Linked DNA regions of Macaca fascicularis. The protein of the gene in region 1 purifies or fractionates together with the protein of each later gene. This does not show direct contact. Links are inferred from orthologs where the notes say so. Each region holds a gene or a part of one and is shown in the gene's direction. Other genes may lie near its edges.

Evidence for each region. Proteins that work in one complex are often made in the same cells at the same time.
Region 2: the proteins of TNKS2 (region 1) and RNF146 purify together in Homo sapiens (co-immunoprecipitation; 3 studies listed by BioGRID and IntAct, with this or other methods). This does not show direct contact. The link is inferred for Macaca fascicularis from reciprocal best matches to the Homo sapiens genes TNKS2 and RNF146.

Annotation. Positions count from the first base shown.
Region 1 is NC_088383.1:100,650,462-100,657,434, forward strand, and holds the end of TNKS2 (poly [ADP-ribose] polymerase tankyrase-2), read left to right. Parts: intron 1-2,192; coding exon 2,193-2,349; intron 2,350-3,097; coding exon 3,098-3,160; 3' UTR 3,161-5,530; downstream 5,531-6,973. UniProt on the Homo sapiens protein: Poly-ADP-ribosyltransferase involved in various processes such as Wnt signaling pathway, telomere length and vesicle trafficking.
Region 2 is NC_088378.1:31,211,049-31,218,121, forward strand, and holds the start of RNF146 (E3 ubiquitin-protein ligase RNF146), read left to right. Parts: upstream 1-3,408; 5' UTR 3,409-3,639; intron 3,640-7,073. UniProt on the Homo sapiens protein: E3 ubiquitin-protein ligase that specifically binds poly-ADP-ribosylated (PARsylated) proteins and mediates their ubiquitination and subsequent degradation. May regulate many important biological processes, such as cell survival and DNA damage response.

The DNA of each region.
Region 1 (6,973 bases):
CTTTTGGCCCTCTCACCGATTATAATAATAGCTAATATTTATTAAATGATCCGTATGGGCCAATTACAATTTAAGCACTTGACCTGGTTGACTAATCATTAGAATATCTGGTGCCTTAAAGCATACTGAGTAGAAAGTAACATTAGGCATGAAAGAGGCTTTATTGTAGCCCTTGAGTATTGTAGGACTCTGTGGACTCTTTAAAAATCTAGTATTCAAATGCTAAAATGGCATTATTTGTCAAGTCTAATTATTTGATCGCAGTGCCTGAGCCTCTCTTCCACTGTGATACGATCCTAATCTTCAATTTGCAATACTACTATAAGAACTTAAAATTAAAACAATGATCCTTTTCGAAAGGAAATAATAATCAAATAACTACTTTGCACTTTTTTTCCACTTTTAATTACCTGTTCTAACTCACTTGTTAAAAATCATTTAAGTAATTTGTCCCTAACTTTAAAAATCCTTATAGGCAAAAAGTTATGCCATTTGAAAAATCCAGTAAGATTAATTCCTGAGATTTATTCAACAGGGCACTACTTAATGAATATATAGAGCAGTAGTTTATCAAGCATTAGCATGCATTAGAATCACCTAGATGGCTTGTTTAAATCACAGATTCTTAGGCTCTACCTTCTCAGTTGCTGATTTAGTAGATCTGGGGTGGGGCTCTAGAATTTGAGTTTCTACCAGGTTCCCAGATGTGACGCTGTATTTCTGACCACTGATCTAGAAAAAACCCTTAGAGCAGTATTTTGCACTTTGGCAGCACATTGGAATCATCCAGGGAACATTAAAAAGCTATTAATGCTTGTGTCCCACCCTCACAGAATCTCATGTAATTAGTCTGGGGCATGATCTGGATATTAGAGTTTTTTAAAGCTTCCCAGCCAATTTCAAAGGACTTCCAAGCTGAAGAATTGCAGTCATGGAGGGAAACAGGTTCTTTCTTTGTGTTTGTTTTGTTCTTACTGTTATCCCTCTAAATTTAGGACTGCATAGGTAGTACACAGTAGGCTCTCCTGTGTGGGATCTCCCGCTCACTTCTATTTTAGATCATAAATTGGAGTGGTTAGGAGGCATGTAATTTCCTAAGATTTTGTAAATTTGAACACTGCTGTTTTTATTTGTCATATATGGTCTGAAGGATAAATAGTTCTAATTATTAGTAATAAGCAACATTCTAACACCTCCCTTTTCTTTGGAAGATAGAACCATCAACTGGTCTACTGACATCTCCTGTTATCTTCTAAAAGGAAACAATAACATTAATACTAAAAGGTTGTTTGAAACTAAGAAAGGCCAATCACATGCCTGAGAGAAGTGGGAGGATAATCTACTGAAACTGGTGGTGAGGGGAGACCTATCTAAGGAAGTACCATTTCAGGGGAAGTCTGAAAATTGAGTGGGTATCAGCCAGTGGAAGAGTGGTAAAATAGATCCCATTCCAGTGATGGAGAAAATTATATGGATGGGGACCATTAATAAAGGAAGTTTGGCCTTTGTGAAGAAAAGAAAACTAATGTGCATGGGGCAGAATGAACATAAAATGAGATTCAAGAAATTGAAGCCATTGTACAGAATTTCTCCCAAGTACAGTGAGCAGCCTCTAAAAGGTTTTAAGCAGAAAAGTGATTTGATCTAATTTTTGTTTGTTTTAATTACTTGGATGGGAAAGGTTTGGACAGGAATTAGAGAAGAAACAGGAAGACTGGTTTAGAAAGCCAATGTGTGATAGTCCAGGTGAAAATTTCAGTGATTTGACTTAATAGTGACAGTAGAATGAAGAGTAAATGGATTTCAAATATATTTTGAAGGTAAAAAATCAACTAGACTTAATTAGATATGTGTCCAACTTTGCAAGCCACTTGATGGAAGACCCTTAAACCTTCTCCTTCCCACTTTGTCATTGACTTGTGTTTTTTGCTGAGACACAAACAAGGTGGTAGAGTCTGCATCTCTATAAGGTTATTACCTTTTTCAGGTTTTATAGTTAAAATAAGGACTAACTAAATTGACAGATTATTTCATTAATAAGAGTAATAGAAGACATTCTTAAAAAGTTCTTTTAGGGGTAAAATGATAAAAACAATTATAAGTATTTATTAAAACTTATGCCGTGTCCACACATTGTCATATTTATGTGTCACGTTTGCCTTCAGGGTGATCTCTTCCTTTTCATTTTATAGGCAGCTGCTCTTTTGCCGGGTAACCTTGGGAAAGTCTTTCCTGCAGTTCAGTGCAATGAAAATGGCACATTCTCCTCCAGGTCATCACTCAGTCACTGGTCGGCCCAGTGTAAATGGCCTAGCATTAGCTGAATATGTTATTTACAGAGGAGAACAGGTAATGCAGTTTTATTTGTTCATCTTCAAAAATGCTAGAGAGGCATACTTTAACTTTTTACTAATCTCTTGACAAGACATACTACCTTAACTGGATTTTTTAAAAATTTTATTTGGAAATAATTCATATTTGGAAAGTTACAAAAATAGTGAAGAGAATTCCCTTATAACCTTTACCTAGATTTCCTAAATGTTAATATTTTGTTCTCTTTTTTCTCTTTTATCATTCACTCCTTCCTTCCTTGTGTGTGTGTTTGTACATTTTTTTTGTGAACTGTTTGAGAGTAAGTTGCAGGGCATATCCCTTTACCATTAACTATTTCAATTGTAAATTCCTAAAAACAAGACTTTATTCAAATTTTGTCAATTGTTCCGGATTTTTTTTAGCTCTTATGATTGAAATCTTGTATTTAACAGCCTGTCTGTAGCAAAGAAGTATATAATTGTGTTTTGCGCTCAGTGAAAGCCAAAAGTAGTTCTAGAGCAGTGTTGTGAACTGGGGGTAGGTATCGGAATCACCTCAGTTACTAAAATCAGACATGAACTTAGTATTCTTCCTAGACTTGCTGATTGAAAATCTAAAGAACTGTAGTCAGGGTAAAGATGTTTTGAGAAAATGTCCCTAGATGATTCTTATCTACAACACTAATTTAGAACCTCCTCCCTAAGACTAGGAATACTTACAGAAAGTCTATTTATCTTTCAGGAAAATTTGTGTACCATTATTTGAATTTGTCTTTCTCTTCCAGGCTTATCCTGAGTATTTAATTACTTACCAGATTATGAGGCCTGAAGGTATGGTTGATGGATAGTTATTTTAAGAAACTAATTCCACTGAACCTAAAATCATCAAAGCAGCAGTGGCCTCTACCTTTTACTCCTTTGCTGAAAAAAAATCTTGCCCACAGGCCTGTGGCAAAAGGATACAAATGTGAACGAAGTTTAACATTCTGACTTGATAAAGCTTTAATAATGTACAGTGTTTTCTAAATATTTCCTGTTTTTTCAGCACTTTAACAGATGCCATTCCAGGTTAAACTGGGTTTGTCTGTACTAAATTATAAACAGAGTTAACTTGAACCTTTTATATGTTATGCATTGATTCTAACAAACTGTAATGCCCTCAACAGAACTCATTTTACTGATACAATACTGTGTTCTTTAAAACACAGCATTTACACTGAATACAATTTCATTTGTAAAACTGTAAATAAGAGCTTTTGTACTAGCCCAATATTTATTTACATTGCTTTGTAATATAAATCTGTTTTAGAACTGCAGCGGTTTACAAAATGTTTTTCATATGTATTGTTCATCTGTACTTCATCTTACATCGTCATGATTGAGTGATCTTTACATTTGATTCCAGAAGCTATGTTGAGTTGTTACTTGGGAAAGATTGAGTTATCAGATTTAATTTGCTGATGGGAGCCTTTACCTGTCACTAGAAATCTTTCTCATTTAAGAACTTATGAATATGCTGAAGATTTAATTTGTGATATCTTTGTATGTATAAGACACATTCCAAAGAGCTCTAACTATGGCAGGTCCTGATTACTAAATAAGCTTCTTTACTGGCCTCAATTTCTAGCTCTCATGTTGGAAAATTTTCTAAAGTCATTCTGTGAAAATTAGAGCAAAGTGCTCCTGTTTTTTAGAGAAACTGAATCTTGCTGTTGAACAATTACTGTGTTCTTTTCGTGGAACATAAGTAGGATGTTACATTTCCAGGGTGGGAAGGGTAATCCTAAATCATTTCCCAATCTATTCTAATTACCTTAAATCTAAAAGGGGAAAAAAAAATCACAAACAGGACTGGGTAGTTTTTTATCCTGAGTATTTTTTTTTCTGGTTCTTTTTACTTGGTTTTATTGCTGTGTTTGTAGCCAATCTATACATCATGGGTAAACTTAACCCAGCACTATAAAATGTAGTTGTCTCAGTCCCCTCCAGGCCTCCTGAATGGGCAAGTGCAGTGAGACTGGTGCTTCTTGCTCCTGGGTTTTCTCTCCATGATATTATGCCCAACTGGAAATACGCTCTCAGTTTGTGCACCATGTGGTGACCAGGCCTGTGTTCAGTTTGGCAGCTATAGAAGGAAATGCTGTCCCATAAAATGCCATTCCTATTTTCTAATATAAAACTGTTTTCCAGGAAGCAAGCTTAAGCATCTTGTTACAGAGACATACATCCGTTACGGCTTGGCAATCTCTTTTACTTGTTGACTCTAGCTCCCTTCAAAGTCGAGGAAAGATCTTTACTCACTTAATGAGGATATTCCCCATCACTCTCTGTACCAGTTCACCTTTATTTTACATTTTATTCAGTCTGTAAATTAACTGGCCCTTTGCAGTAACTTGTACATAAAGTGCTAGAAAATCATGTTCCTTGTCCTGAATAAGAGTTGATCAGAGTAAATGCATTTCTGGAGTTGTTTCTGTGATGTAAATTATGATCGTTATTTAAGAAGTCAAATCCTGGCCTTGAAGTGCTTTTTATACAGCTCTCTAATAATTATAAATATCCTAAAGTCATTTCTTGGAACACAAGCGGAGTATGCCAAATTTTATATGAATTTTTCAGATTATCTAAGCTTCCAGGTTTTATAATTAGAAGATAATGAGAGAATTAATGGGGTTTATATTTACATTATCTCTCAACTATGTAGCCCATATTACTCACCCTATGAGTGAATCTGAAATTGCTTTTCATGTGAAATCATTGTGGTCTGTGAGTTTACAATATTGCAAACTGTGTTATTTCATCTAATCAATTGCTTAATGAGTGTGTTTTTCCATGAATGAATATACCGTGGTTCATATGTTAGCATGGCAGTATTTTCAGATAGCTTTTGTTTGTTGGGAAGTTGGGGTTTTGGGGGGAGGGGGTGTATTAGTACGTTGCATGAAATAGCTTACTTTATGATGATGGAATTGCTTTTTCTTTTGTCTTGTGATTTTTTTTTTTGAAGTGAAATTTAACTTTTTGTGCAAGTAGTACTATTATACCCATCTTCAGTGTCATACTTGTATTGTATCACATTCCATACCCTCATTTAATTCTTAATAAAACTGTTCACTTGTTTTTCTGGGTAGCATGGTAATTACTGGAATAGTATAAATGTGTTGAATGGTCTTTGAGAAAATGAATTAAGATTACAATAAACCACAATTGCAGGAAAACAATGTAGTTCTGAGTCTAATAGTGATAAATAATGCAGTTTGAAGTTTGAAATATTGAATATTGTAGCTGTACTTGCTCATTAAAATGAAAGTAGCTGTGAGATGCTTTCAACATTTAATCTATTCAGCACAACTTTGGTAAACCTTGAAGCTCATTCCTGGGAAATTAATCTTCTTAACTTATAAAAAGAAATATATTTTTATTTCTATGTCATATGAAAACATTCTTATAAGTTTCCAAATCTCAAAGTTAGTGGTATTTATTGCTATTAAAAGAAAGTATAATCGCATGTGTATATTAGACTTCAGTATGTTAAGTTTCGTTGTGTGTAGGCCGGGCGCGGTGGCTCAAGCCTGTAATCCCAGCACTTTGGGAGGCCGAGATGGGCGGATCACAAGGTCAGGAGATCGAGACCATCCTGGCTAACATGGTGAAACCCCGTCTCTACTAAAAATACAAAAAACTAGCCGGGCGAGGTGGCGGGCGCCTGTAGTCCCAGCTACTCGGGAGGCTGAGGCAGGAGAATGGCGTAAACCCGGGAAGCGGAGCTTGCAGTGAGCTGAGATCCAGCCACTGCACTCCAGCCTGGGCAACAGAGCGAGACTCCGTCTCAAAAAAAAAAAATATATATATATATATATATATACACACACATATATAGTAATATAATATATATTGATTGTATAACCTTTCCCAAATAAGTTGTTTGTTTGTTTTTTTGAGTCTCGCTCTGTCGCCCAGGCTGGAGTACAGTGGCTTGATCTCGGCTCACTGCAGCCTCCGCCTCCCAGGTTCAAGTGATTCTCCTGCCTCAGCCTCCCGAGTAGCTGGGATTACAGACCTGCGTCACCATGCCCAGCTAATTTTTGTATTTTTAGTAGAGACGAGATTTCACCATGTTGGCCAGGCTGGTCTCAAACTCCCAACCTCAGATGATCCACCCGCCTCGGCCTCCCAAAGTGCTGGGATTACAGACATGAGCCACTGCGCCCAGCAGAGGATATTTATTAACATAAGAAAATGCTTTGGATATAATGTTAAAAGACTTAGGATAAACAATATGATCCTGCTTTGTTAAAGCAAAAACAAATCACCTGTCTACATGCATAGAAAACAGATTATCCATAAATTAATACACTGAAATGTTAATGGGAAGCTATCTCTAAGTAATGGAACAACGGGTGATTTTTACTTTGCTGTATTTTTCAGCATTTTCCAAATTTTCTACAATAAATATGCGTTACCATTATAATCAGAACAATCAGGAATCATTATGACTTAAATGGATATTTTAAGGTCTACTCCAGTCCTGGTTAGGGCGGTTGGATTGTCAATCCTGCCCCAAACAAGAGACCGCTCTTTCCATGAGAGCAAGGATGGGCATCCAGCCCTGAAAGGGGATGCATTCACCCCTTCAGTTCAGTTCTTTTGACTGGGAGACA
Region 2 (7,073 bases), on another chromosome or scaffold:
GTAACTAGAGTCTTAGTAGTAGTATAAGAACAATTTACTATCAGACACTCCACAAGAGTCACAAGACCCATACGGGTCACTAGATAACACTTTGAACACCGCCACCCTAAATTAGCCACATCAGTGGTTTCAACATACATTCTATTGTAACACATCATTTTCTCATGAAATGCATTTTCATGGATGTCTTAGAATATTAAGTAAACAAAAAAAATGCTTTGATCCTTAAGTAAAACAAACAACATTGGACAATTTTGAGTGTTGGAAGGATATGTGGAGAAGAGTAGGCGCTTGGAGATGTGTAGTGTTCAGGAAAGCATTTTGCAAGTTGTGGGAAATAGACAATGAGCTATAATCAAACAGGCCACTGGGTAATTCCTAGCAGTCAGCTGCAACTTCTTTACCTTTGATTGAATGAAGAGAAATGGAATCCCAGTTATAGTAACATTGTTACAGAAATATATTGAAACTGTTAGGCTCGGATTTATTTCTTTAAGCAAATAATCTGAAGTTTTGGTACTTAAAATTACTGGAAACCAGTTACTCTTAATTACTGGAAACCAGCGCTCTGACAATGTTGAGAGGTGCTGTCCTGTATTATTCAAAGATATAAACTTCTCACTATCTTTCTTTCAAGTGGCTGATAGAGGTAGGGTGTATAGTATTCCATGCATTCAATTCTGCTCTTCATATGCAACTACTGAAAAATAATGAGTTCACTTTTATTAATATACATAAAAAGTGTGTATATGTATATATACACACATAAGTGTATATATATGTACATATAAGTATATACATATAAGTATATACGTATATACATATATATGTACATACACATAAGTATCATGTATATATGTATACATATGTGTATACATAAGTATATACATATGTATGTGTATATATAAACACAGTCACATACATGAATGTGGTTTTTTATTTTGAGACAGAGTCTCGCTCTGTTGCAGTGAAGGCTGGAGTACAGTGGCATGATCTCAGGCAATTTCCGCCTCCTAGGTTCAAGCGATTCTCCTGCCTCAGCCTCCCGGGTAGGTGGGATTACAGGCGTGTGCCACGATGCCTGGCTAATTTTTTTGTATTTTTAGTAGAGACGAGGTTTCACTGTGTTAGCCCCAATGGTCTTGGATCTCCTAACCTCATGATCCGCCCACCTCGGCCTCCCAAAGTGCTGGGATTACAGACGTGAGCCACCGTGCCCGGCCATGCGTGTATTCATTCATTCATTCATTCATTCACTCATGTAACACATATTTACAGAGAACCTCTTTAAATGGGTCAGGCACTATTCCTGGCAGTTGAGATACAAAATAGAACACACATTCCTGGCCTCCCAAGTCTTGCATCCTAATGTGGAGAGACATATGATGAAGATTAGTAAGTAAAATAAATTATCCATTACATTGTGATAAGTATTAAAAAGTAAAGGAGGAAATATGAAATATCGGGAATGGGAAATGTCATGATTTAAAATGTGGTGACAAGTAGAAGGACTGACTGAAGAGTTGGACATCTGAGCACATATGGAGGGAGCATGACGGGGAAGAGTGTTCTAAGCAGAGGAAACTGCAACTGCAAAGACTATGAGGTTGGGAGCCTGTGGAGAGCTTTCTGGGAATACAAAGCTGGGTAAACAGTCTGTGGGGTCAAAGATGTAATGAGGGGAGGATTTTAAAGTCATTGTTAGGACTTTGGTTTGTACTTGTGTTGGGAAGCCATAGGAGACTTTGAGTAAGGGAGTGATATGATCTCACTTCTTTTTAAGTAATTTTGGATTCTGTATTGAGAACAGAGTCAAAGAAAAGACTAGTTCTTGGTCTACCATAATACTATAATCCAAACAAGTGATAATGCAGATTGTAGTGGAGGTGGTAAGCAGTTGGATTCTGGATATACTCTGAAGGAAGAGCCAACAGATTATATGCCAATGTATATAAGACATAAAAGAGATGAATTAAAGATGGGTTTGAACAAGGAAAAATGCAGCCATTTGAAATACAAAGACCCTGGGTATGAGTGAGAAGAGGTGGAACTAGTTGACATCTTACAGTCTGTGCCTGGATTCAAATCTTAGCTGTGTGTCTCTCTCTGTAAAATGGGAAGAATAATAGTGTCTACCTCATAGTTTATTAGGAGAATTAAATGGGTATATATGAATAAAGCACTTAGAGAAACACCCGGTACATCGTTAGTTAATACTAGCATTACCTCTTTAAGCTGGAATCTTCGAGTACATATCAAATTTTAGCGATTCTCTGTTCTTGGGCTGTGTAGGATACAGGGACAAAACTGAGTGGCTAATAAGAAGATAAAGATAGAAAACTAAGCTTAAAGGATATACACTTCAATATTTCTACATGTATAGAACTTATAAGAAAAACAGTATTGCATACATGCACAAGCATCACTGAACTAGATGCACCCTTCAAGAGATTGGTTGACATATTAATATATGTGAATAAAAACCCTGAAATAAACTGATTTCAGGGGAATAACAGAAAACATATACATTTCTATACCTATAAGGGCACTGAAAACTTCCAATCCTGAATCAGTTAATGAAATCCCAAAATGCGAGAAGACACTGTCACAGAATGTTGAAATACATACTCTTTTAAAGATAAAAGGTCTGCTCTTCCACCCTCTTCATTTTCCTACACATTAGGAAAATTTTATCAGTTCTGAAAAAGGAAACGTACATGCTAAAACGGTGAATTACTGCTAGAGGTCTGATGTTTAAAACCACAGGCTTGCGACCAAAATAACCTATTTAATTTTAGATTCTCACGCAGATTAATTTCTTTCTTCAGTTTCTCAGGCACTATTCTGTTTTTTTAAAAAGGGGAGGGCTCAAAATAAAATACCAATTTTTTCCCGTATTAAATTGCTCAACCATTAAAAAGGTGAATAAATTGGAAAGTCCTAAAGTACTCTCTGCCCTCCATCCCCGCCCACGACCCTCCTTTTTTTTTTTTTCTTGAAGTGGAACAAGCAGTACTTTTGCTAAGGGATCTTCAAGCCGAAACTCAGCTAGGCGCCCCAGGGCTTCCTCGGGATAGCAAAGCTGGATTTTTGAGCAGCACCACCTGCCGGGCCTACACACGTTTTACTTCCTCCACCCCAAACCTCTCTCTGCTGGAACTGCATTCTTTCAGTGCCTCTGGGCCCTAATACAACTAAAGCACACTCTAAAGCAGCCAGAAGAATCCAAGCAGGGAAGTCGCCGGTCCCCACAAGCAAGAGAGTGCGGGAAGGCAGCGAAGCGATGCAGGGACAGAAAAAGGAGACGCCGGAGCCAGCTCGCGGGTGCGCGGCACGGCTTCCGCCCCGCGCGGCCCCGCCTCCGTGACGCGCCGAGTGGTCACGTGACGGCCGCGCGCGTTCCCGGCCGCTGCGGGCTCCGAGGCCAGAGAGAAAAGACTGCGAGGTGGCCGCAGCTGTGGCCGGAGAGGTGGGAGTCGGAGCGAGGCCCTCTCGGGGGAGCAGGGTGAACGCCGGCCACTCCAGGATCCTCACTCGGGGACAGGAGGCATACCTCGCGGTGTCACCTCCAGCCGCAACGTACTCCGGGTCGGCCTTGCGCTCGGGGCCTGAGAGGGGCGGCGGCGGGGTCAGGGGCCGGTACGTAGATGGACGCCCTTGGGCTGGCGCGGCCCCGGCTGTCCGCGCAGAGGCGGGATGGGACAGCTCAGCCCTTTCCACCACCCCCGCCTTGGCTGCTGGGGCAGGCAAGACGACCGTGACAGCCCATGCGCTGCCCGAGGGCCCCGCAGCCCCTGCCCTAGGTGACGGCCGGAGCTGGTCTCGGTCCGGGTGCGAGGGGCGGAGCAGCGGCCATTACTGCGCAGCGTCTTCCGCCTGAGCCCGCGTCGCTGCCTCGGGTGGCAGGCGGGTCCCTCTCCTCCCCCTGGGCCGTGGTTTCAGGCCTTTACCCGGGGACCTCCTGGCCTCGAGGTGTAGGGGCGGCGATGGTTTTTCGACAGTAGCCTGCTCCCTGTTTCCCGTGTGGGGTCAGACAGTTTAGGCCTTGGGTCAGATCGAAGCCAGGGCGTACAGTCTGCATTTTTGTCTTTTCCCGGAGTGTCTCTGGCTGCTGCTTTCTCTTCTCTCTCTTCCTCCTTTTTTTCCTCCTCCTCGGTGTCTTGGTCTTGGCTAATACGAAGAGAGCAATCCCTGCACCTTGTTCTAGTGAAGCCCAGCGCTGCATATTGTTAGTTGTTTTGACGGCTGTTGAAGCATCGGAACAATTAAGAGATCTCACAGTATCCCTTGAGCCTCCAAACCCTCTGTGCATCTTGAAAGCTGAGACTGTTGCTTTGTTCTGTTTGTTGGGTGGGGAGTTCTCTTCCTACCCTCCATCCCATGAGAGGAGTGTCGGTCTTCCATTGTTGTCGCTATTTATTTTGCGAAGGCTTCTAAAGAATGTAAAATTGTTTTTAAGAGTGTGGAGAAGGAACCGTCCTCTCCACAGGTAAAACCTACAGGACTGTAAGTTTACACACACATCCTGGCAACTAGAATTTTTTATCGTTAATCATTTTGGTATACGTTTTAATTTCTTTTCTACAAGTGCCATTTTAGTGAGCACTTATATCTCAAGTTTTGAACATTTTGTTTAATATTTTTGTAATATTGAAACAATGTAGAACTGAGGTGAGAAGAAAGCCCAAAGATAGGGAACGCTTTGTTCTTTGTATGATTGACGTTTCAGGTACTGGGCGCATCACCCCCACCCCGTGTGTGTACTTTTCAAATGGGATGTGAACGTATGATGGCATTCAATCCAGTATATAATTATAGAATTTGGAAGACTTAGGACATTTTAGTCAGTGAATCTATATTTAGACTTTTAAAAGACATGGCACGTAAGGACACATGGAGAAAATGTCCCACACTAATACCAGGATTTGTGATTTTTGCTTTGCTGTTTTATGACTAGCAAATACTGTTTGTATAGAGTGCCTGGGTGCCCTAAAAACACTTGAAAATAGGTCAAGTAAATCTCGTTTTAAAGAGAAAACCGGAAGAGTGAAACACCACTCTAAAAATAGATTTTGGATGTGTTTGTTTTGGTGCCTTGTATATCTTAGAGTGGAGGATGTTGTTCAGTCCAATCTTTCATTTAGAATTTATGTCTCAAATGGGCCAGTGTGTCATGTGGGCAGAATGGAAATACATTTAAATATTTTTTTTTTCTTCGCTGGTTGTTCAAAACTTGGTAGAATTATAATCATCAGGAAAACTTTCTCCAAATAGCTGGTCTTTTAGACAAGAGAAAGAAAAAATTAACTTTTTTTAAAAGGAGATGTCAACTTACAAAGTGTTTTGTTTCAGTCTCCACCAACTTAAAATTGTCAGAGGAAAGGAACAGACTTTTTTAAAAAAGGATCCAAAACGATATTTTGAGTTAAAAGAAGAAAAGGATATTAAATATGTTGTTTTCACAATATCGATCTGTTTAAAGAGTATTATTTTATATGTTAACCATATACTACCAGGAAACATCTAACAGCTCTGACAGTTAGGAATTCGAATGCGTATTTTTCTCCTGTGTTAGTAACAGAAGGTACTGAGCCTTTTCCATTCTCTTATCTGGTTGCCTTGTGCCTGAGGAATCTGAATTTGTGGAACAACATCTTTGTAGATATAGAAACCAATTTATGTAACACTTGGCTACAACCACCTGTGCTTACTTATGGACTGTGTTTAGTTTTTGTGGCGTATGACCTTTTGGGTTAATTCAAATCCAAAGTGTTGTTAACTGACTGCTAATTAAAGCATTTAGAACTTAGAATTACAGAATTATACAGTAGGATGAGATAACAAAAGACTGGGGGTCTTTTGACTTGACCAAGGTCACACAGATAATTTGCCAAAGAGCTTCCTTGTTTATGAAATCGTTGCTGGCTAAGAAACATCTGTGTGTGATATGATTAAAAGACAGTATTTGTTCACTTTTACATCTCATGTTTTGAAATAAAATGCAAAGCCCACTTTTTTGTTGTTTTGAGAAAAATTAAAGGGTTTAATGCGCTAGTATAAAGATTGTGAAGGCAGTAAGTAGATTGCCACATAGTAACGTCTTAAAGGGAAGTGATTCTTTAAAATAAAGTATCAGACCCCATTTAGTTGAAATGAGTTTTGTCTGAAGTTTCCAAGTATGACCTATTCTTTTTCTCAGCTAATTTTTAGCAGGCGATGATTAGGGCATTTAGTTACATATTTCAATTTGGGACTGGTTCATAAAAAATACTAAGATGCGTCTGCTAACTCACATTTAGATTTATCTACTCCTTTTATGTATATATAATTTTTTTTTTGAGTTGTATACTAAAAGTGGGAACATTTCAAGTATTTTTTCTGTTACTAAGTGCTTTCATGTAGAACATTTCCTGTTTTGTGTATTTTGAATAAATGGTAAAAATCTGACATTAGCTGTTAATAATTGGAAAAATACAGTAAGTCTTCAAATATTTATAATTGATATTTGTCTTTGTTTTTATATGTACTTATATTGATGTTACATGCTCTTTTTTTTTTTCTTTGATTAAAGATAATCGCTTGCTTGAATCTATTACCTGAAAAAACTCGACTTTGATCTTGTGACTGACTTGAAAAGTGGGAGTATGAATATTTGGAGTTGTTACAAATTATAAATGGTACAATATTACTTCATTTTTAGTTGTATTTATTTTTCACTTATTTGAATGGGTCAAGATTTAAATTCATTGATAATCCCTAAACCGCTTTGTATATTTTTAAGTTTTACTTGTCACTTTTTTTTTTTCCTTCAGAATTGTTAGGGGCAAAGTATCTAATTTGGTTTTAGACTTTTTCTTTTTTTTTATGTTACCTTCTTAATAGATCATCATATTAAGTTTGGTGTAAAATTTACAAGTCATTCATTCCAGTAGGAATTATGTATGTTTGAGTTATTTATGTTTGGCAAATTAATTCTGGCCTGCAGTTAAAATTATGCTGTTGTTTTACATCCCCCTATTGGTTAAAATAAAAGCATCCCTTCTCCTCCAACTTTAAAAAAATCTTTGTTTTCA